Oryctolagus cuniculus: one gene and its partners. The protein of the gene in region 3 interacts with the protein of the main gene of each other region in a pairwise test. Links are inferred from orthologs where the notes say so. Each region holds a gene or a part of one and is shown on either strand. Other genes may lie near its edges. The genes, in order: ENTREP1, SMAD3, WWP1, ATN1 and CPSF6.

What was found.
Region 1: the proteins of WWP1 (region 3) and ENTREP1 interact in binary tests that used the Homo sapiens proteins (3 or more experiments, as listed by UniProt). The link is inferred for Oryctolagus cuniculus from reciprocal best matches to the Homo sapiens genes WWP1 and ENTREP1.
Region 2: the proteins of WWP1 (region 3) and SMAD3 interact in binary tests that used the Homo sapiens proteins (3 or more experiments, as listed by UniProt). The two-hybrid records come from large-scale screens. The link is inferred for Oryctolagus cuniculus from reciprocal best matches to the Homo sapiens genes WWP1 and SMAD3.
Region 4: the proteins of WWP1 (region 3) and ATN1 interact in a two-hybrid assay, tested with the Homo sapiens proteins (2 studies listed by BioGRID and IntAct). The link is inferred for Oryctolagus cuniculus from reciprocal best matches to the Homo sapiens genes WWP1 and ATN1.
Region 5: the proteins of WWP1 (region 3) and CPSF6 interact in binary tests that used the Homo sapiens proteins (3 or more experiments, as listed by UniProt). The link is inferred for Oryctolagus cuniculus from reciprocal best matches to the Homo sapiens genes WWP1 and CPSF6.

The regions. Positions count from the first base shown.
Region 1 is NC_091432.1:161,049,351-161,052,865, forward strand, and holds part of ENTREP1 (endosomal transmembrane epsin interactor 1), read right to left. Parts: intron 493-3,515; coding exon 363-492; intron 258-362; coding exon 179-257; intron 1-178. UniProt on the Homo sapiens protein: Functions as an activator of the E3 ubiquitin protein ligase ITCH in the ubiquitination of the CXCL12-activated CXCR4 receptor. Thereby, triggers CXCR4 endocytosis and desensitization, negatively regulating the CXCL12/CXCR4 signaling pathway.
Region 2 is NC_091443.1:89,858,189-89,862,190, forward strand, and holds the start of SMAD3 (mothers against decapentaplegic homolog 3), read left to right. Parts: upstream 1-1,195; 5' UTR 1,196-1,751; coding exon 1,752-1,957; intron 1,958-2,328; exon of another isoform or gene 2,329-2,411; intron 2,412-2,471; exon of another isoform or gene 2,472-2,868; coding exon of another isoform or gene 2,869-2,876; intron 2,877-4,002. UniProt on the Homo sapiens protein: Receptor-regulated SMAD (R-SMAD) that is an intracellular signal transducer and transcriptional modulator activated by TGF-beta (transforming growth factor) and activin type 1 receptor kinases.
Region 3 is NC_091437.1:111,755,992-111,759,456, reverse strand, and holds the end of WWP1 (NEDD4-like E3 ubiquitin-protein ligase WWP1), read right to left. Parts: intron 2,084-3,465; coding exon 1,984-2,083; 3' UTR 506-1,983; downstream 1-505. UniProt on the Homo sapiens protein: E3 ubiquitin-protein ligase which accepts ubiquitin from an E2 ubiquitin-conjugating enzyme in the form of a thioester and then directly transfers the ubiquitin to targeted substrates.
Region 4 is NC_091440.1:102,606,731-102,610,245, forward strand, and holds part of ATN1 (atrophin-1), read right to left. Parts: coding exon 3,461-3,515; intron 3,334-3,460; coding exon 3,220-3,333; intron 2,518-3,219; coding exon 527-2,517; intron 353-526; coding exon 130-352; intron 1-129. UniProt on the Homo sapiens protein: Transcriptional corepressor. Recruits NR2E1 to repress transcription. Promotes vascular smooth cell (VSMC) migration and orientation. Corepressor of MTG8 transcriptional repression.
Region 5 is NC_091442.1:71,574,048-71,577,562, forward strand, and holds part of CPSF6 (cleavage and polyadenylation specificity factor subunit 6), read left to right. Parts: intron 1-139; coding exon 140-313; intron 314-442; coding exon 443-553; intron 554-1,001; coding exon 1,002-1,506; intron 1,507-1,681; coding exon 1,682-1,797; intron 1,798-2,559; coding exon 2,560-2,713; intron 2,714-3,515. UniProt on the Homo sapiens protein: Component of the cleavage factor Im (CFIm) complex that functions as an activator of the pre-mRNA 3'-end cleavage and polyadenylation processing required for the maturation of pre-mRNA into functional mRNAs.

The DNA of each region.
Region 1 (3,515 bases), on a different chromosome or scaffold from region 3:
AACTGGCACCCATATGGGTGGGATGCCAACATCGCAGGGGGCAACTTAACCTGCTATGCCACAACGCCAGCCTTACTCCAAGAATTTCCGACCTCTAAGAAAATAGCAAACTGGTTATTATTTTGCTGTGCTTTAATCTACTGGATCATGACGTGGGACAGTGATGACGCGGGATTACCTTGAGTCACTTGGGCACAGACCACTTCCAGCGGGCTTGTAGCAGTCTCTGTCCCTTCTGGAATCCGGAATGCGGGTCCCTGAACAGCGGGACAGAAGAAGGTTACTGTGCTGCCGTCAGCTTACCCGCAGCAGAGCCCCGTGAGGCCCCCGGGGTGCTGCGTGAGGGCTGCGCAGCGCCGTACCTGCTCCCGGTCCATCTGGCTCACCACCGCTTCGTATGGGGGCGGCGGGTCCAGGGGACAGAACACCTCCACGCCTTTGATTCGTGCTCCATAGATGTGCGGCACGGGGATGATGTCAGAGGCGGCCATCCTAGGAACAGCATGGCGCCGCCGTGAGGAAGCCCACTGTGCGGGCGGCCATCGGCCCCTTAGGACGAGGGGCGCTCCCCGGTCCCCACCTCAGCCACCTGGTCCGCCCCACCCCTCCCTCCGCCTCCACAAACGCCAATCCACGGGACAGAAAAGGGACCAGGGGCTCCCTGGGGCTTGGGGAGGGCAGGAAGGGGCGTGACTGCCACTGGGTAGGGGTCTCCTTGGAAGTGAGGAAACGAATGAGATGGAGGTGTTGGAGGCATGGTGCTGCCACTGAATTCCACACTGCAAAGGGGTTAATTTCCTATTACGTGAATTGCTCAACACCGAGGACAGCTTCTTACAGTAGTACCTGAGCAGTTTCTCGTCCCTTACACGGCAGACTCACCGTTTGCCAAAGAAATACCTGAAAGGTGAGTTAACATAAAGCAAGAAGTGAACCACGTCCCAGCTCGGAGCCGGGGCGGGGACAGCAGGCGCAGCCACGGAGCTCCCCCAGGAGCTGCCCGCCAGGCCCGCCCCGTGGACAGGGGGCGCTCTCACCCACAGGGCTGCGGGCAGGGGCAAGCCAGGGGCTGCGGTGGGAAGCACAGGTCTGTACTCTGCTGGCTCCTGAACCCAGCCCAGGTGGCCAATAGGCTGGCACTCATTTGTAACAGGAACCCCACCACCACCAACAGAGGGAGAAGCACACCCAAGAGTGGAATGAACAAGGGGAAGAGGTCTCACAGCTGAAACAAACTATGTGGGTGCAGAGAAGCTGAACCTCAGGGAGAAGCCCACTCCATACCCTGCTACCTTAACCAGAACCGCAGCCGCTGTTCTCTAGGGTCAGTGAGTTTCTCCCCACAGCCTCCTCCTCCCCTCTTCTCTCTCATCCCCTCTCCTTCTCCCATTCTGGGCCTGGGAATACATGAGGATTCTTTATCGCTCACTGTTTACATTTGCTATATTTACCAATTCTTCATCATCTACAAATTACTGACGTTTAGACTTCCAAACTGCCTCCACCACGACCCCTGACTGCTTCTTAGATAATTTTCTGGGGGAAAGGGTTGTTTTTTGAGGGAGTTTTTTGTTTGTTTGTTGTCCTATGTGTGACAGACCCTCAAGCAAATTTTTTTTTAAATCTGGAAGATTTCCTGCCAATGTTCATGGATAATTCCACAAAATAAGAAACTAGATAATGAAAAACATGAAATTTAAAATAATTACTGCAAAAAAATACACACAAAAATCCAGAAAACCTTCATTCTGGCTATGGAGCATTAGAGAATGAAAAAAAAAATAAGATAATAGCAAAAGTATAACATCTGTTCTTGAGATACAAAAAAGGGAAAAACTCAAAGAGCCTGATAAAAAGCCGGATTCTGGGGGTCAGATGCATGCAGGTGACTGAATTTATGATCACTTCATTTCCTTCTTTGTGCTCATTTGAAGTCTGATGGGTGGAGGCAAAAAGTTGAAAAAGTTGTGATGGTCTTTCTTCCTAACAACAAAGTTCTGGAATTCTGGGATTTAAAAAAAATGAGACTTGTGCAGTCTGAAGGAAAACGCAGGAAAGCTCTGCCCCCTTTTCCTGTACGTTCCTCTGGTCATGAACCACACACATTCCCTGCCTGACCCGAAAGGGAAGGGAGAAGGTTCTGGGTCAACAACATACACCTAGCAAGTGCAGCCTCCCATCCAAGGAGAAGTGGCAGTCATGGGGCGGGGCTCCTGGCAAGAACAGCCTGAAAGACATCTGTTCCTCTACCTTGGTCCATCTTCTGTTGCTTTAGCAGAATGCCTGGGACCAAGGGATCTACGAAGAAGTGAAGGTGATTTGGGCTCACAGTTCTGGAGGCTGGCAGTTCAAGGGCATCATGGTGGCATCTGGCAAGAGTGACAATGGCTGCAGAGTGAGGGGCCACATGTGGAGGACACAGCACCAGGGGCAGTGTCACACTGTAACAATGCGCTCTCCAGGGGACCTGATCGAGGCCTGCCAGATGAACCCAGCCCCAAAAGAAAGGCAGGGGCCCCTCCCAATGACCCACACACCCCAGAGGCCCCACCTCCACACAGCACCACCAGAGCACACAGGCTGCAACATGAGTTTAGAAGGGACAAACCCCATCAAACCACAGCAACTCTGAGAGCAGGACTTGCCCATGGGTTTCCTCCAACCAAGGCCATGAGCGATTCCAAGAAGCCACTCTTCTGGCCCTAACTGGAGACTGCTCACCAATGACTGACAAAGTTTGTTTCAACCAAAGCGACCTAGGGGCTCCTTCTGTCCCCTCCAAAGGGCCCGGCTGCAGCCTTTAATTAGCATAACCCCCATGAACCAGCCTTCCAAAACTTAACAAGCCTCAGCAAACAACACAGGCATTGCTTCCCCGCTGTGGGCCTTAGCTAGAGAGTGAAACCCCCAGCGCTGCCTGCCTGACTGTGGGATAACCCTGCCAGCTTACACCCGAGCTGGGGTGACCTGGGCCTTGCTGAAGGCCACAGGCTTGGAAGAACAGGTCCCATGTCAGATCCTAAACCATCGCAGAATCTCTTCCAGGGGAAACGGGGTGCTTTTTCCAACCTGGCTGCAGAAGGAATGACGTCACAGTGGCCATCCCCAGGACCAGAAGAGCCTCACTGTGAGCAAGGCTGCTTCAGCATCAACCAAGGAGAGTCTTTCCCATTAAGCAACTTCTCATTTTACTGGTGAGTTGCTGGCTTTTGCTCTGATCCCCTGTCACTCCCAACCCTAGCCATGGAGTCCAACCCCTCTGGGAGGTTCTAATCCCAAGATTGGCCTGGGCCTCCCCTCTAGGAACCATCTCTCACTGCCTGTGGTGGGGCCCAGGTCTCAGTGTGGTCAGTGTTCTACAAAAGGCAATGGGCCACGGGGCCGGTGCCATGGCTCACTAGGTTAATCCTCCACCTGTGGCACTGGCACCCCATATGAGCACCAGGTTCTAGTCCCAGTTGCTCCTCTTTCAGTCCAGCTCTCTGCTGTGGCCTGGGAGTGCAGTGGAGGATGGC
Region 2 (4,002 bases), on a different chromosome or scaffold from region 3:
CTTGTAAGCCCAGGCTGGCGTTGGGTTCAGGGATTCTCCTTCCAGGTTTTAGCAGGGAGGGAGCTATAGCAGGAGAGGAGGGCGAGGAGCACCTGGCTGTGCGGAGGCTACGGGGCGGGCTAGGCCAGGGCCCCTGCAGCTTCTGGGCTGACTTTGTGGATTCGGCCACACCTCACAGGGCTTTGTAACTTCCCACCACTTGAGGGTTTGCAGATAACTTCTTTCTCACCACTGGGGGTTTCCTGCTGTTAAAAACAAACAAAGGCCTTACCCACCAGGGTGGCCTCACAGGGGAGGCCCCTGCAAAGGCAGGCGCTGGGGTAACTCCAGACAGCCCCGAGGAAGGGCTCCTGGATTCTGCGGGTGGGGAGGAAAGCTAGGAGCCCGCCCCCTCCCCCGGTGTGTGTGTGTGTGGGGGGGCGCTGAGTGCCTCAGCTCCCGGAGAACTCAGCACTTTAGTGCGGGGGTTTCAGATTTCGGATCTAGCTGTCTCTGAGTGTGCAACACCCGGTAATGTGACTTTCACCCAGAGACACATTCTAACGCGCCCCCGTTCATTCCTTCACGAACTCAACAGATGTCTTTTGAGGCCCTTTTGCTGCCAAGTACTTGGTTCACAAGGCTCAAGGGAACCCCCCCCCTCAGCTATTGTGCGCGCTGTCACCCGAGTCCTCGCAAACGCCATTTCCCAGGGCCCAGTGTCCCCTCTCTCAGCTCCCGCTCCGCAGTCTCGGTGTGACCTCACAAGCCCCTGGGTCGCGGGCGCCTGCCAAGACCCCTGCCCAGGATCGGCACACACGAGACTAAGTGCGCGCCCCGACCCCCTCGGCCTCGAGTCGGAGTCCGCTCAAGGTCCGACGGCGCCTCCTCGCCCCCGTCCTGCCCGCGACTCCAACCGAGCTCGGGCCCCCGCCTGGGGCCCCTCCGCCCGCCCGTTTCCCGGGACTTCCTCCCCCGCGCACGCTCGGCTGCGGGCCGCGGCCGCGCGGGGTACGGCGCGCTCCAGCCGGGCCCGTCGCCGCCCCCGGTCGCCCACGTGGGCGCGCTCGGCGCGGGGCGGGGGAAGGCCGGGCGGCCTCGGCGGAGCAGGGGCGGGCAGGGCGCCCGGGGGAGGAGGCGGGGAGCCCGGGCGGCGAGGGGGCGGTGACAGCGCTAGGCCGGGAGGCTGCACGCGGATTTGCATGAAACATAGACTGGGAGCGGGCGGGAGCGGGAGCGCCGCGCACGCCCCGGGCCGGCCCCGCGAGCGAACGAGCGCGCCGGGAGGAGGAGGAGGAGGGAAGCGGGGAGGCGAGGCCGCAGAGGCGGAGGGATCTGCGCATCAAAGCGAGCGAGGCGAGCAAAGTTTGGCTGGGGGCTGGACTTTCCTTCCCGGAGGCGGCACCCAAACAGCTACCCCGTGCGGAAACCCAAACTTTGTGCTGCCACTCCGAGCCTCGCGGCCGCTGCCTCCGCCCCACGCTCGGGGCCTTCCCGACCCAGCGCCGCCGCCCGCCCGCCCGCTCGCCCGCCGGCCGCCCTTCTCCGCCCCGTGGGAGCCGTTCGCTCGCGCGCAGGGCCGCGCGCCGAGCCCCGCAGGCTGCAGCGCCGCGGCCCGGCCCTGCGCACGGGGCAAGTTCGCCCGGAGTTGAGGCGAAGTTTGGGGCGGCCGCGGCCGGCCCGAGCCGAGCTCCCTTCTTGCGCCCCCGGCGCCCCGCCGCGCCCAGCCCCGCCGGGGGCGCCCCCTCGCCGCCCGCGCGCCCTCCCCAGCCATGTCGTCCATCCTGCCCTTCACCCCGCCGATCGTGAAGCGCCTGCTGGGCTGGAAGAAGGGCGAGCAGAACGGGCAGGAGGAGAAGTGGTGTGAGAAGGCGGTCAAGAGCCTGGTTAAGAAGCTCAAGAAGACGGGGCAGCTGGACGAGCTGGAGAAGGCCATCACCACGCAGAACGTCAACACCAAGTGCATCACCATCCCCAGGTGGGGGCCCGGGGTTGCGCCGGCCCAGCCCCCTTGGCGCGGCGCGGGTGGAGAGCCGGGACCCGCGGGCGTGCGCGGGGCAGCGGGAGCCTGGCCGGGGGGTGGGGGAGGGAGACCCCAAACAAAACCTCCTTCTGGGAGCGCGAGGCTTCCACGCGGCACTCTGGCTTCCAGACCGCACCTTCGCTTTCCACCTCCGGGATGGGGGTGCGGCGGGTTTGGGGCGGGGGCGGGCGCTGGTGGTGGTGGTGGTGTTGCTGGGATCGGCCGCCCCCAGCCCGGGGAGCTACCGAGTCCAAGTTGAGGCCCGCTTTGTTCGGCTCCGCGGGCGGGAGCCCCTCCCCCGCCGCCGCCGCCTCCCGCCCCCGCGGCCCGCGCTCGCGGAGGTGTAGCTGCCATTCTCCGCGGCGGCCGGGTCCCCTCGCGTCTTTCCGCCTCTGCAGGAATGCAGTCGGTACAGCTGGGGCGGTGGGTGCGGAGCCCTAGCCGCGTGATGGACAGATGCCTTCTTCGCTCTTTCTTTGCCTTTGGGATTAGCATTTGTATCGAGTATTTTTAGACTGGGTTGTGCCAGCCTCCCGCCCCGCTGTGCGCGCACGCCCTGGAGTTGCTGCGCAGGGCTCTGACTTCTTCGAAACGGGAGGTGCGAGTGGCAAGGCCACGGGGTCTTCTCCGTGAGCCCGCCGCCCTGCCCGCACCTTTGCCCTCCATTGTGGTCTGAGACGCTGCAGATCGGTGCAGAACGGAGAGGGGGGCTGGAGCCGCGCAGACACAGCCGCCCCGGAGTGGGCCTCGCGTCCGCCTTCGCATTCCTGTGGAGCCCTCACTCTCAAAGCGCTTTGCCATCTGTCGGGACCGCCTTTATCCTTGCCCGGCGCGAGCCGAGGCTGGCGGGCGCTCACAGATGGCTGATGGAAGGGTCAGTGACTTCTGACACCCCGGGGCCTTCCAGCGCTCAGCCGCGCCTGCTTGGAGATCGGGGTGGGAAGATGGGGGGGGGGGGGGAGGGCTTGGCCCTGCGTCTCTGCTTCTCAGCCCTATTTGGAGTCCGGTTCTGACCCAAGTGGGGCGGGCGCGGGTGGTGGGGACGCCGCAGCCTGGGGGGTCCCGGGCTGCAGAGGAATGAGGAATGGCCCCGCAGGGACTGTCAGCCTCGCTTCTGGGCACGGGTGGACTCCTCTGTCCTTGGCCACCTGCTTGGGGCAGCTGTGCAAGGGCTGCCAGCTGTGTGAGGCAGGCACAAAGCAACATCTGTCCGCAGGAACGCAGGGCAGGCCTCCCCTGCAAATAAATGCTGGGCATGGTGGCAGGGCTGACTTAAGAAGTAGTGAGTTGTGCTTTTTTTTTTTCTTTCCCCTAAAATGGGTGGATCCAGTCAAGAGAGGCGGTGTGCTTTGTGGGGAAGGCACTGTGGGCCGGGGGTCGGGAGCCAGAGTGGACTTCAGAGGAGGTGGTGTAATGGGATGGGCAGAGAAACTTGGGTTTTGGGCCCGCCTCTGGTTTTTAATTCTTTTTTATCCCTTTGGTGGGGGCCCCACCGGTAGAATGGGGGTCTTGGGGGGGTGCTTCTCTCCTGCTCCATGTTTGCCTGGGTGGGTGGAGGACACACAGGCTTAATTTATTCGTGGAAATGGGCAGTGGGGTGGGGGTGGGATGGGTTATAAAACAGGCAGCTGTGCAAAGTGTTCTACAGTTTACAAAGCACTTTCACGTGGTTTTACGAGGTCCTCGAAGAAAGAGACCCATGCCTGGAAAACAGATAAGGCAGCCGGGCTGGAGATGATCTCATTTTCCAAGCGGAGAACACTGGAGCAGGGAGGTGGGCAGGCTTGATCCAGGGGCTGCGCCTTCTGCCGCCCTGTGCTGCTGAGCACTTGGAAGGCTGAGGCTCGCTCGGCCCAAGGCTCGGCCCAAGGCTGGAGCTGTGTCAGCTGGGGTGGGCGGTGGGAGGTTGGCTTCCACCTGTAGGCCTTGTTTGCCTGTCTCTTGGTAGGAGTTTGCTTTGCGCGGGGCAGGACAAGGGCCTGCCTTTAAGAGTCCTGGGA
Region 3 (3,465 bases):
AGTGGTTCTTTCAGGACAGAACAGGGATGGGAAGAGATGAGAAAAGGTGGGGCCACATTTCTTCATTTTTTTCTACTGCAGAACAGACAAATCATGTACCTCTGGATGTCTATCATTGACTATGAAAGCTCTCCTGACTTCTCTTAACTAGTCTTCCCAAAAAACTGGTTTGGTCTCCCTGTAAGTTCGTGGTACAAGGTAGTTTCTTACTTGAAATGTTGAGGGGGGTAATTACCCAGAAAACCACGTAAATCTGATACTCTGGTATAGCTCCACTGAGTGGTGGTACTCGGGAACTTCTGTCACAGTGAATGCTCTACAGCGCTACGCCACCTGTGTGTCTAATGTCTAACTTTAGTGGTACAGTTTAAGCACTCCTTTTGAAGGTTAATCACTTTCTATTGTGTAACCTGTCATATACATTAGAATTCTTTTTAAAAATTCTGTAAGACTTGAAAATAACCAGAATGTCTGGAGTTAGGATTTGGGAAAGGAATCTATTCAATCAAGTGGATCACTGACTTTATTTTACCTTTACTGTGAATTTTGAATAAAATGCAGAACACAATCTAAATTATTATGTAGAAAAATAAAATTTTTGGAAAGCAAAAACTGTACGGAAGTTAACTGTATACTAGTATTTTCTGTATGCACTTAGCAGTGAATTATTTACAGGTAACACATTCCTAAGTCAGTTCAATGGTTATAAAAAAAAGTTTAAGTTAAAGAAGTTTACAGTGCATATTGAAAGCATGATACAAATGGAAATTGAAATTTTTGTATTAATTAAGAAGTCCAGTTTGCTAAAAGTAGCATTAATATCATTCACATCAGATTTTGTTATACATCTTTGTAGTTCAGCAAATGCCCTTATAATGAAAAACAAGTGTTATTTACTTAGAACAAAAATAATTGTAAAAGGGGGGAAAGAGGACCCAGAAGGTTTTTAATATGCTTGTTTAATTCAGATACATAGAATTTTCATGAATTTGAAAGGAATGAAGATATTCAAACAGTAATAGAAAATCCTTAGTCTTCTATTTGTGTTTCAAATGCTTGTGTAACTTTTCAATTCATCTGCTTTTATAAAACTGGAATTTTGAACACAAAAGTGGCAAAGTTCACATTACCTTTTATATGTTCCTATGTATCAAACTGCATCAATTTATTGTGAATAAAATTTGAAGGATGTCACAGATTTAAAAAGAAAAGTACAGAAGTGCCTGATTTTTTAATTCACAAATACCTAATATCCCAAAGTAACATGTAAACAAACCTCTAGTCTGCTGAATGAATTTTTACCAATCTCTATAATAAACTAAGTGGTATTGGATCTAATAGAACTTTCATGTAAGTATGGTCTCCATTCATACTTTCACTGTATTACTAATGTAGCAAAGAGGGAAAAATTTTCAACTATTCTATTTATTTAAAACAAACTGACAGGTTTAAGCACCTGTCTTCAGAAAAGCCAGCAGCATTTTTAAATATACTCAAAGTAAGATTTGGCTTAAGCCCTTAATACCTTCCTGAACAGCCATGCAGCTAAATGCCCTCAGGAGTTGTTACATGAAGAACATGGAGCAGTTTGCACTTTTTCCCCTGGATAATAAAGGTAAAGCAAATCCAGATCTTTGTGAAGAACAGCTGTGATGTTTAATACACTTGGAGCTCTATAAAACTAGAGCCACTATCATATATGCTTAATAGAGATATATACTTCTTATTTTTTAATAAAGTCTCTTGCTTGTTTCAAAATTTAAGGGTGATCTTTTTCCTGGTCAGTCATTTCAAGGGAACAATAAATAAAGTAGAAAAAGATGAATGGTTTTGCATATTTCTGTGGAAGAACGGAAAACATTTATACTTTTGAAAGGTTCAGAAAACTCCTGTACAGAATGAACAGCTTATATATACTATCTGTGCAATTTTCTTGGTTGGGGTATTTAAATGCAAGAGCTCCTCCAAAACAAGAAGCCACATTCATTCTTGTCCAAATCCCTCTGTTTCTTCTATTGCAAAAAGGAGTTTTTCCTTTAGTTGTTCATAACTCTTATATGGTGGTAGATCCAAGCGATTAAAACTGAACAAAAACAAAAACAAAATCAGATGTTTTCAATAAAATAAGCTATGAGACATTTCTAATACAGTATTTTTAAGCACATTATTACTATATATCAGCATTTCCAAGAGCAAGCTATTTAAGACCTATACATAAATAATATTTTAACATTTCCCATAGAAAATAAATTACAAATAGTAACTGAAGCACCAAAGAATTTTTTAAATCATTTTTCTGTAGTATTCCTGACTGCCACATGTATGTGCTCCCTACTCAATTCTCTTGGGTTAAGAGTACATTTCTTTCATTCACTCATTCATTCATCAGTTCAGTATTTACTGAGAATCTTTTCCATGCTGTATACTGTGCCAGAAGCTGATGAGATGGGGATGAAAAACTCAAAGCCTTGTCCTCGTGGACCTCAGGTTCTGGGGTGGAGACAGTGAACAAATACATACTTTTCTATGTCTCTTCAAATAATCTCCTCACCATATGTATAACATCTAAAATGACACCTTTTCAGTATTGTCAGACTTCTGGGACTAACTGACGAAAAATATAAAAATACTGAAAATGCTTAAAATCATAATGTATTGTTTTTCAATTTACAAAGTCAGAGTAACATTTAATTTCCTAGGATACAATACTGGTCAGCAGTATGATTCAATGTCTGTGTTTTGGTTCCCTCTCTGTGACCAGTGAAACAGCTTCTCAGGCTGGAACCTGTCTATACAGTAACTCGCTCATGTGGAGCTTTTCCTCTATGAATTATCCAGGTGACCTCCTACCACTCTACTGCTCATCTGCCCTTGCCTCGGCTCATGTAGGAGTCACGAAAGATGAAAATTAAAAGCTTTTTGAAACAAGGCAGCCAGTTAAAACAGTGCTGCTCTCAGAACATAAATATTGTTTGTATCTTAAAAAACGGTAAAGATATTATTGCCCTCCCCCTTTTTTTAAATTAATTTATTTTTTTTTTGACAGAGTAGACAGTAAGAGAGAGAGATAGAGAGGTCTTCCTTTTTCCGTTGGTTCATTCCCCAATGGCCACTGCGGCCAGCGCACCGTGCTGATCCGAAGCCAGGAGCCAGGTTCTTCTCCTGGTCTCCCATGTGGGTGAGGGCCCAAGGACCTGGGCCATCCTCCACTGCACTCCCGGGGCACAGCAGAGAGCTGGCCTGGAAGAGGAGCAACCGGGACAGAATCCGGCACCCGGACCGGATCTAGAACCCGGTGTGCCAGCGCCACAGGCGGAGGATTAGCCTATTGAGCCGCAGCGCCGGCCCCTCCCCTTTATTTTAAACTATGCTTCACTGTAGACACAATCTTAAGTCCAGATAATAGTAATTTTCTGTTCTTTTACATCTTTTATATATAACCTATGACAAATTGTTATCTTTCTA
Region 4 (3,515 bases), on a different chromosome or scaffold from region 3:
CACTTCCTGGACTGTAGTGGCTCCTCCTCTCCGACAGGTGGCGGTAACTCCCCCAGCCTCCCAGACCCGCTGCGCAGTGACCAGGAGGGAGGGATAGGGGGCGGGCGGCGCACCTCGTGACGCACTCACCACGCTGCGCTCGAGCTCGCGCTCCTTCTCGCGCTCGCGCTCTTTCTCACGCTCACGCTCCCGCTCTCGCTCCTTTTCTTCGCGCGCGCGCTGCTCGGCCTCGCGCCGCACCTTCTCCACCAGGTCGGCCCGCTTCTTGGCCAGCTTGGAGCCCTCCAGCGGCACGAAGTATAAGTCGCTGCGCGCGCACGAGTTGAAGCCGCGGTCCAGGTGTTTGTTGAACCTGCCAGGCGCGGGAGGTAGCGCAGCTGAGCCCGCGCGAGCGAGCTGCTGCCCTCAAGGGCCGTTTACGGTGTCCTTTTACAGAGCACCGCGAGACCGCCAGGCCCCTACCACGTCTCCCTGCTCTGTCCCCCATCCCAACCCCACCTGCACCCCGCCCCGGACGCCCGCTCACCTGGCAGACTGACTGGCATGGCTGGGCATGTCTACCACCTTGGGAGGGGGCGAGGGGCTGCGGGCCGGGGGCGCCGGGCTCTCGGGGGACTCATACTCCTCCGCCGGCTCCTGTTTGATTTGCGCGGCGTTCAGGGTGGGCCCTGAGTTAGGGGCCGCAGGTGGCGGCGGCAGAGATGACAGGTTTGAGGGCCCCGCAGGTGGCAGGGGCCCGGGCCCCACCGTAGGTGAGCCTGGCTTGAAGGTCCCCGGGCCGGCAGGCGGTGAGGCGCCTCGGTAGCCCGGAGGGGTCCCTGTTCGGAAGGAGGGCGGCGACCCCGGCTTGTATCCGGGCGGGGTGGCCGTCTTGTAGGCCCCTGGGGACGGGGCTCTCTTTCCGTACGGTGGCGGCCCAGGCGGGGAGGCCGTTTTGTAGCCTGCTGGCGAGGAGGCCACGGTGGCGATCACCGTGGAGAGGGTAGCAGAGGTGGTGACCGGGGGCCCCGGTGGGAAGGGGTAGGGCGCGCCCTGGGGCCCCTGTGAAGGGGATGGATGTGAACAGGGGTAGGAACCTTGAGAAGAGGAAGAGGAGTTGGAAGAGGAAGAGGCTGGGGGGCCGTTGGGGCCTGCTTGGCTGTAGGACACCTGGTTGTGGGGTGGGGGCAGGTGTGCCGGCCCTGGGGGATAGGGCCTCAGAGAACCCAGAGAGGGAGACATGGTGTAAGGGTGGGCGTGGTGGGAGCTGCTGCTCTCCAGAGGATGGGGGTATGCGCCCGGGGGAGGCGGCCCGGAGCTGCCGTGGTGATGTTGTTGCTGCTGCTGCTGCTGCTGCTGCTGCTGCTGCTGCTGCTGGTGGTGGTGGTGATGGGCTGGGGCTGGTGGGTGGGCAGTGGACTGGCCCCCAGAGGAAGGCGCGAAGGGGCCAGGATGGGCATTGCTGTTGGCTAAAAGGCGGCCATATGGGGGAGGGGGAGGAGGTCCCTGGCTCCACACGGCCTGGGATGGGAGAGAAGGCTGAGTGTACTTGGGTGGCTGATTGGAAACAGAGAGGCTTGTGGGAGGGGGGAAGGAGTGGGGATAACTGGGCAGTGCCTGGGAGGCTGGGTACTGGGGGGCAGAGTTGGAACTGGAGGAGACTGCCACAGAGCTGCTGGAAGAGGATGAGTAAGAGTACCTCATTGGGGGGGCTGGGGCGGAGGAGGAGGATGCAGGGGGCAGAGGGTGGGGCGAGGGCGCCAGGGCCGGGCCCTTCTCTGGGCCAGGAGGAAGTCCACCCATATTCTGGCCCATGGCGTGGGGGGAGGGCAGATGCCCAGGTAGCGGCTGGGCCCCCAGGCCAGGAGGAGAAGCTGATGCATTGTTGAGAGGCCGCAGGGCAGGTGGGGGAGGCAGGTTTGGTGTCACGTGGGGGAAAGTGGCGGGTGGTGGAGCAGCGGGCAGATTCCCACTACCCAAGGGAGTGGTAGGTGGCTTTGTTGGGGGAGCACCACTGGCCCCAGAGCTTGATATTGAAATGGGGGTAGTGGGTGGAGGGTGCTGCTTTCCCCCACCAGGGGCTCCAACTGAAGAGGCAGTCCCTCCCCCTTTGGGACCCATTGGAGGTCCGGACAAAACCCCTCCAGCAGCACCCCCAGAGTAGAGCTGTGGGTGAGGGGGAGGAGCCCCAGGAGGAGCCTGGAACATTCGAGATGTGGGGGGCTCCATGGGAGCATGGTATCCAGTGGGTGTCACAGGATGGGGTTCAAAGCCAGGCTCTGGCTGCCGGGGGGTGCTGTCTGGTGGTGCAGGGGAAGGAGGAAAGAGTGGAGGCGGGTGGTAGGGGCGTGCTGGCCCCTGGGACAGGCCAGAAGACGAGTCGGAGTCATTCTCCACACTGCCAGGGCTGTAGATGCTGGGGGACGTGCTTCGGTTGTCCTGGTCGATATCCCGAGGGTCACTGCTGCCGTCGTCATTGAGGCTCCGCCCGTCCAGGCTGTCCAGATCCGAGGGAGACTGTGGCCGCGGGAGCTCCTGCTGTAGGGAAAGCCATTTTTGCCTCTTTTTTCAGTTCCTGTCTCCCAACAGCGGGGCCTCTCACAGCACATGACGCACCGACTTGTGAAGAGTGTTCCTGGTCAAAGGAGAATCCTCACTCTCCTGGCATCCTCAGGCGCCCCTAACAGGCCACCTGTTTCCCTCCTTGTACAACCCGACTCCCTCTTCCAGTGTCTACCCCACGCACCCTCCCCACCCACGACTGACTCGGAATCCCTGTCCTACACCATCTCACACCCACCCTCCTCTCCTGTCATCATCCCCAGACCCTTGGTGCTTCTTACAGGACCACTTCTGTGTTTCCCTTGGCTTACGTGTTCCTCTCACTCAGAGGCTACAGTCCCCCAGAGGCCCTGCCTGCTCCTCTAGCAGTCAAAGCCCTACATCTGCCTGACAGCTCACAGGACCACGCTGGTAGGCACGAAGAGATGGCTGTTCTTATTTCCCAGGAGGCTTTAAGGTAGGAATGGTGAGCTAAAGAAACTTGAGGAAAAGAATGGTCACAAAACAGGGGCCAGTGGAACGGGTTAAGCTGCCACCTGCAACACCAGCACCTGTGGAAGCTCTCTCGTCTCTCTGTAATCCTGTCTTTCAAATAAATAAATCTTAAAAAAAAAAAAAAAAAAAGAAGAAGAAGAAGAATGGTCAGAAAGCAGGCCAGAGGTCAGAAGGGTCCCCCACCTCAGTTTTGGTCTTTTTTGGTGCATTGGTCTCCTCACTTTCACTCTCTGAGATCTCTTCACTCCGGCCCTGCTTGTTGACCTTTGGGGTGGAGGCTTCCTCTACTCGGGCCTTCTGTGAGAGGGAAAGAGAAAACTCTGTCTTCCGCCTCCCAAGCCTCCACTGGGCCTGCTCTGCCAGACAGGAAGTCCCCCACAACACCCGCCCCCAGCATGCTGCGGGAGGACCTGAGCACAGATACCTTGGCTGTCTGCCTGGACTTCTCGGCTTTGCCGTCACTGCTGGACGTGCTGACC
Region 5 (3,515 bases), on a different chromosome or scaffold from region 3:
GCTTGCACAGGCCCAAGGCATCTGAAAGTTAATATATAGCGTAAATGGACTTTGAGGTAGAATTGTTTCTAGTAGCAGTGGTTACATTTCAAAAAGCTGTTCTAATAAGTGCTATTTATGAGTATTTGGATATTTGCAGCTACACAATCAGGACAAATGTCTGGGGAAGGTAAAGCTGGTCCTCCAGGAGGCAGTTCACGTGCAGCATTTCCACAAGGTGGTAGAGGACGGGGCCGTTTTCCAGGGGCTGTTCCCGGTGGGGACAGATTTCCTGGGCCAGCAGGACCAGGAGGGCCACCCCCTCCTTTTCCAGGTAAAATTTTACTTAAATTACCATGGATAAAACATGTCTACCTAATACCTCTTTTCCTTTTCTCTCTTTTTCAAGTAATGCATTATTAATGTGACTTACTCTCCTTGTTATGCTATTTTTGGAATCCAGGAAATTTGATCAAGCATCTTGTTAAAGGAACTCGGCCTTTGTTCCTGGAAACTAGGATTCCATGGCATATGGGGCACAGCATAGAGGAAATACCCATTTTTGGCCTAAAAGGTCTTTATTTTTCTCCAAACTTGCTTGACTTATATATAGAATATTTACATCAGTCTTATTTTCTTACCTCTTAAAAATCCTTTCAAGACCATTTTTCCTCGTTTCACTTTCTAGCTTGGCATCAGAGTAGAATATAAGGTGGGTGATTTCACTGTAAGAAGTGTGTGTACACTGAAAGATGGAAAATATTTCTAAGCACTGTAATCTTTTTTAGTAAAGTTTTTGTTTCAATAATTTTTGCTAAGCATAAATTGAGCTAGTTAAATTTGTAAGGATATCCTTCACCTTTGTAGTTGTTAGCGTAGCATTTACCTTATGGGTTTTGTATAAAGAGAATTTTGGTCTGTGAGTTATGCTTTAAAAGTATAATAATCTTGGCATATAAATGTTAAAAGTATCTTTGTTATTAAAATATTTTCTCTCTCTCTCTCTCTCGTTTATTCTATAGCTGGACAGACTCCGCCACGTCCACCCTTGGGTCCTCCAGGCCCACCTGGCCCACCAGGTCCTCCACCTCCTGGTCAGGTTCTGCCACCTCCTCTAGCTGGGCCTCCTAATCGAGGAGATCGCCCTCCACCACCAGTTCTCTTTCCTGGACAACCTTTTGGGCAGCCTCCACTGGGTCCACTTCCTCCTGGCCCTCCACCTCCAGTTCCAGGCTACGGCCCCCCTCCTGGTCCACCACCTCCACAACAGGGACCACCTCCACCACCAGGCCCTTTTCCACCTCGCCCACCTGGTCCACTTGGGCCACCCCTTACACTCGCTCCTCCTCCGCATCTTCCGGGACCACCACCAGGTGCCCCGCCGCCAGCTCCACATGTGAACCCGGCTTTCTTTCCTCCGCCAACTAACAGTGGCATGCCTACATCCGATAGCCGAGGTCCACCACCTACAGACCCATATGGCCGACCGCCACCATATGATAGGGGTGACTATGGCCCTCCAGGAAGGTACGTTAATTTGCAGCAATCAGAGTGTTTCATTGGTAAAAGATGGTTGTTTTGTAGGAAAATAACATGGAAATGTAGCTAACATCAAAAACAGCTAGTGTAAAGTGCTTTACACTGTTAAGTCTAACTTAGAAAATCTGTTGGGTTTGACTTAAAGTTTCTTTCTGTTTTAAAGGGAAATGGATACTGCAAGAACACCATTGAGTGAAGCTGAATTTGAAGAAATCATGAATAGGAACAGGGCAATCTCAAGCAGTGCTATTTCAAGAGCTGTGTCTGATGCCAGTGCTGGTTTGTATATTTTTTCCTATATTCATAATTTTTACTTATGTGAAATGATCTAAACTTAAAAGCAGTCCGAAAGATATGTCATTTACGTTTAATAGTTCTTTTTGTATTCTCAAATTGTTATAAAGTATTGGAGAAAGCAGTACTCACAGTATAGCAGAAAGACCCCACAATTGTAAGTTATCAAGTGTTGATTTAAGTATTGGCCTTGACATTTAATGGTTTCAGAGACCTTCAGACAGCTTATTCAGTCTCCTGTTTACAAAATGATAAACTGTTTGACACAGCTTCGGTGATACCAGATTTTGTTAATTTGATCAATTTTAGCTTTTGCAAGTTTTGAAACCAAAAAGACACTGTTTTCTGTGATTGTTTTGAGGTGCACTACTTGAGTAAAATACTTTGCCACTCTTATCCCTACGTGGCTTGGCAGTGTTTCCCAACAAAAGTTACTGTTTTTAAGGTTTATTTATTCATTTGGTTGAAAACCAGAATACTCAAGTGCCTGCAACAGCCAGTGTTGGACTAGGCTGAAGCCAGGGGGCCAGAACTCCACTGGGTTCTCCTATGTGGGTAGCAGGGATCCAAGCAACTATTACGTTCCCAAGCACATTAGTAGGAAGCTGGATTAACAGTGGAGCCTCTGAGACATTAACTTGCATTCTAATGTGGATGTGGGTACTCCTAGTAGTGGCTTAACTTGCTGAGCCACACCAGCCCTCCCCAAAATTTGCTTGACTTCAATGCCTTTCTTTTCCTCTACAGGTGATTATGGGAGTGCTATTGAGACTTTGGTAACTGCAATTTCTTTAATTAAACAATCCAAAGTATCTGCCGATGATCGTTGCAAAGTTCTTATTAGTTCTTTGCAAGATTGCCTTCATGGAATTGAGTCCAAGTCCTATGGTTCTGGATCAAGGTAAAACTTTCCTGTCTCCTGTCTGTTGAAACCTGCTAGTTTACAAAAGGAAAAAATACTGTGTTTGGGACTTTAAAACAAAAGTTTGATGTACTTACTGTTTACTTAGCAGCTGGAATGATTTTTTTAAACTCTTAAGTCAGATGTTAGGTGTTTGCTTAAAACCCGTCAAAGGCTTCCACTTAGGCTTACTTCTTGTACTTCTCCCCATACTCACTCTAGCCATATTGATCTGTCTTTTCCTCTGGGCACATGAAGCATTTGACCATCTTACTGATTTTGTACTTGGTATTCCTTCTCCTGGGAACCCTTTTCCCTGGCTCTTCACATTCCCTGGCTCCTTATCCTTCTCCTTGTCTCAGTCTAACTTCTTAAGAGGGTCTTCTCCCAGGTTAGTCTGTCATATCCTTCTCTTACTTGCCGTAACCTATTCTTATTTGTTACTTGTATTTCATCTCATTAGAACATACTGAATGATAGCAGGGATTTGATCTAACCTACCTGCTACAGTTCTGTATTTCTAATGCTTAAACTTTGCCTGGTACAGTGTGGTGCTGAGTGAGTGAGTGAGTGAATGAATGAATGAATGTAGTTCCTTGCTTTCAGAATTCCTGCCAACTGCCCTGGAAAGGTGTCTTTTTAATCCTCACATAATCTCCCTTTAGTATGTTATCTGGTAGTAGAGTCATCTTTATTATTAAGGGAAAGGAGTTTGTCTTTGGCAGTTCCAACTTTATAATTACTGCCTTTTGACTTAGCTTATCTTTTTATCTGAACCAGTTGGTCAGAACTAACAGCATAT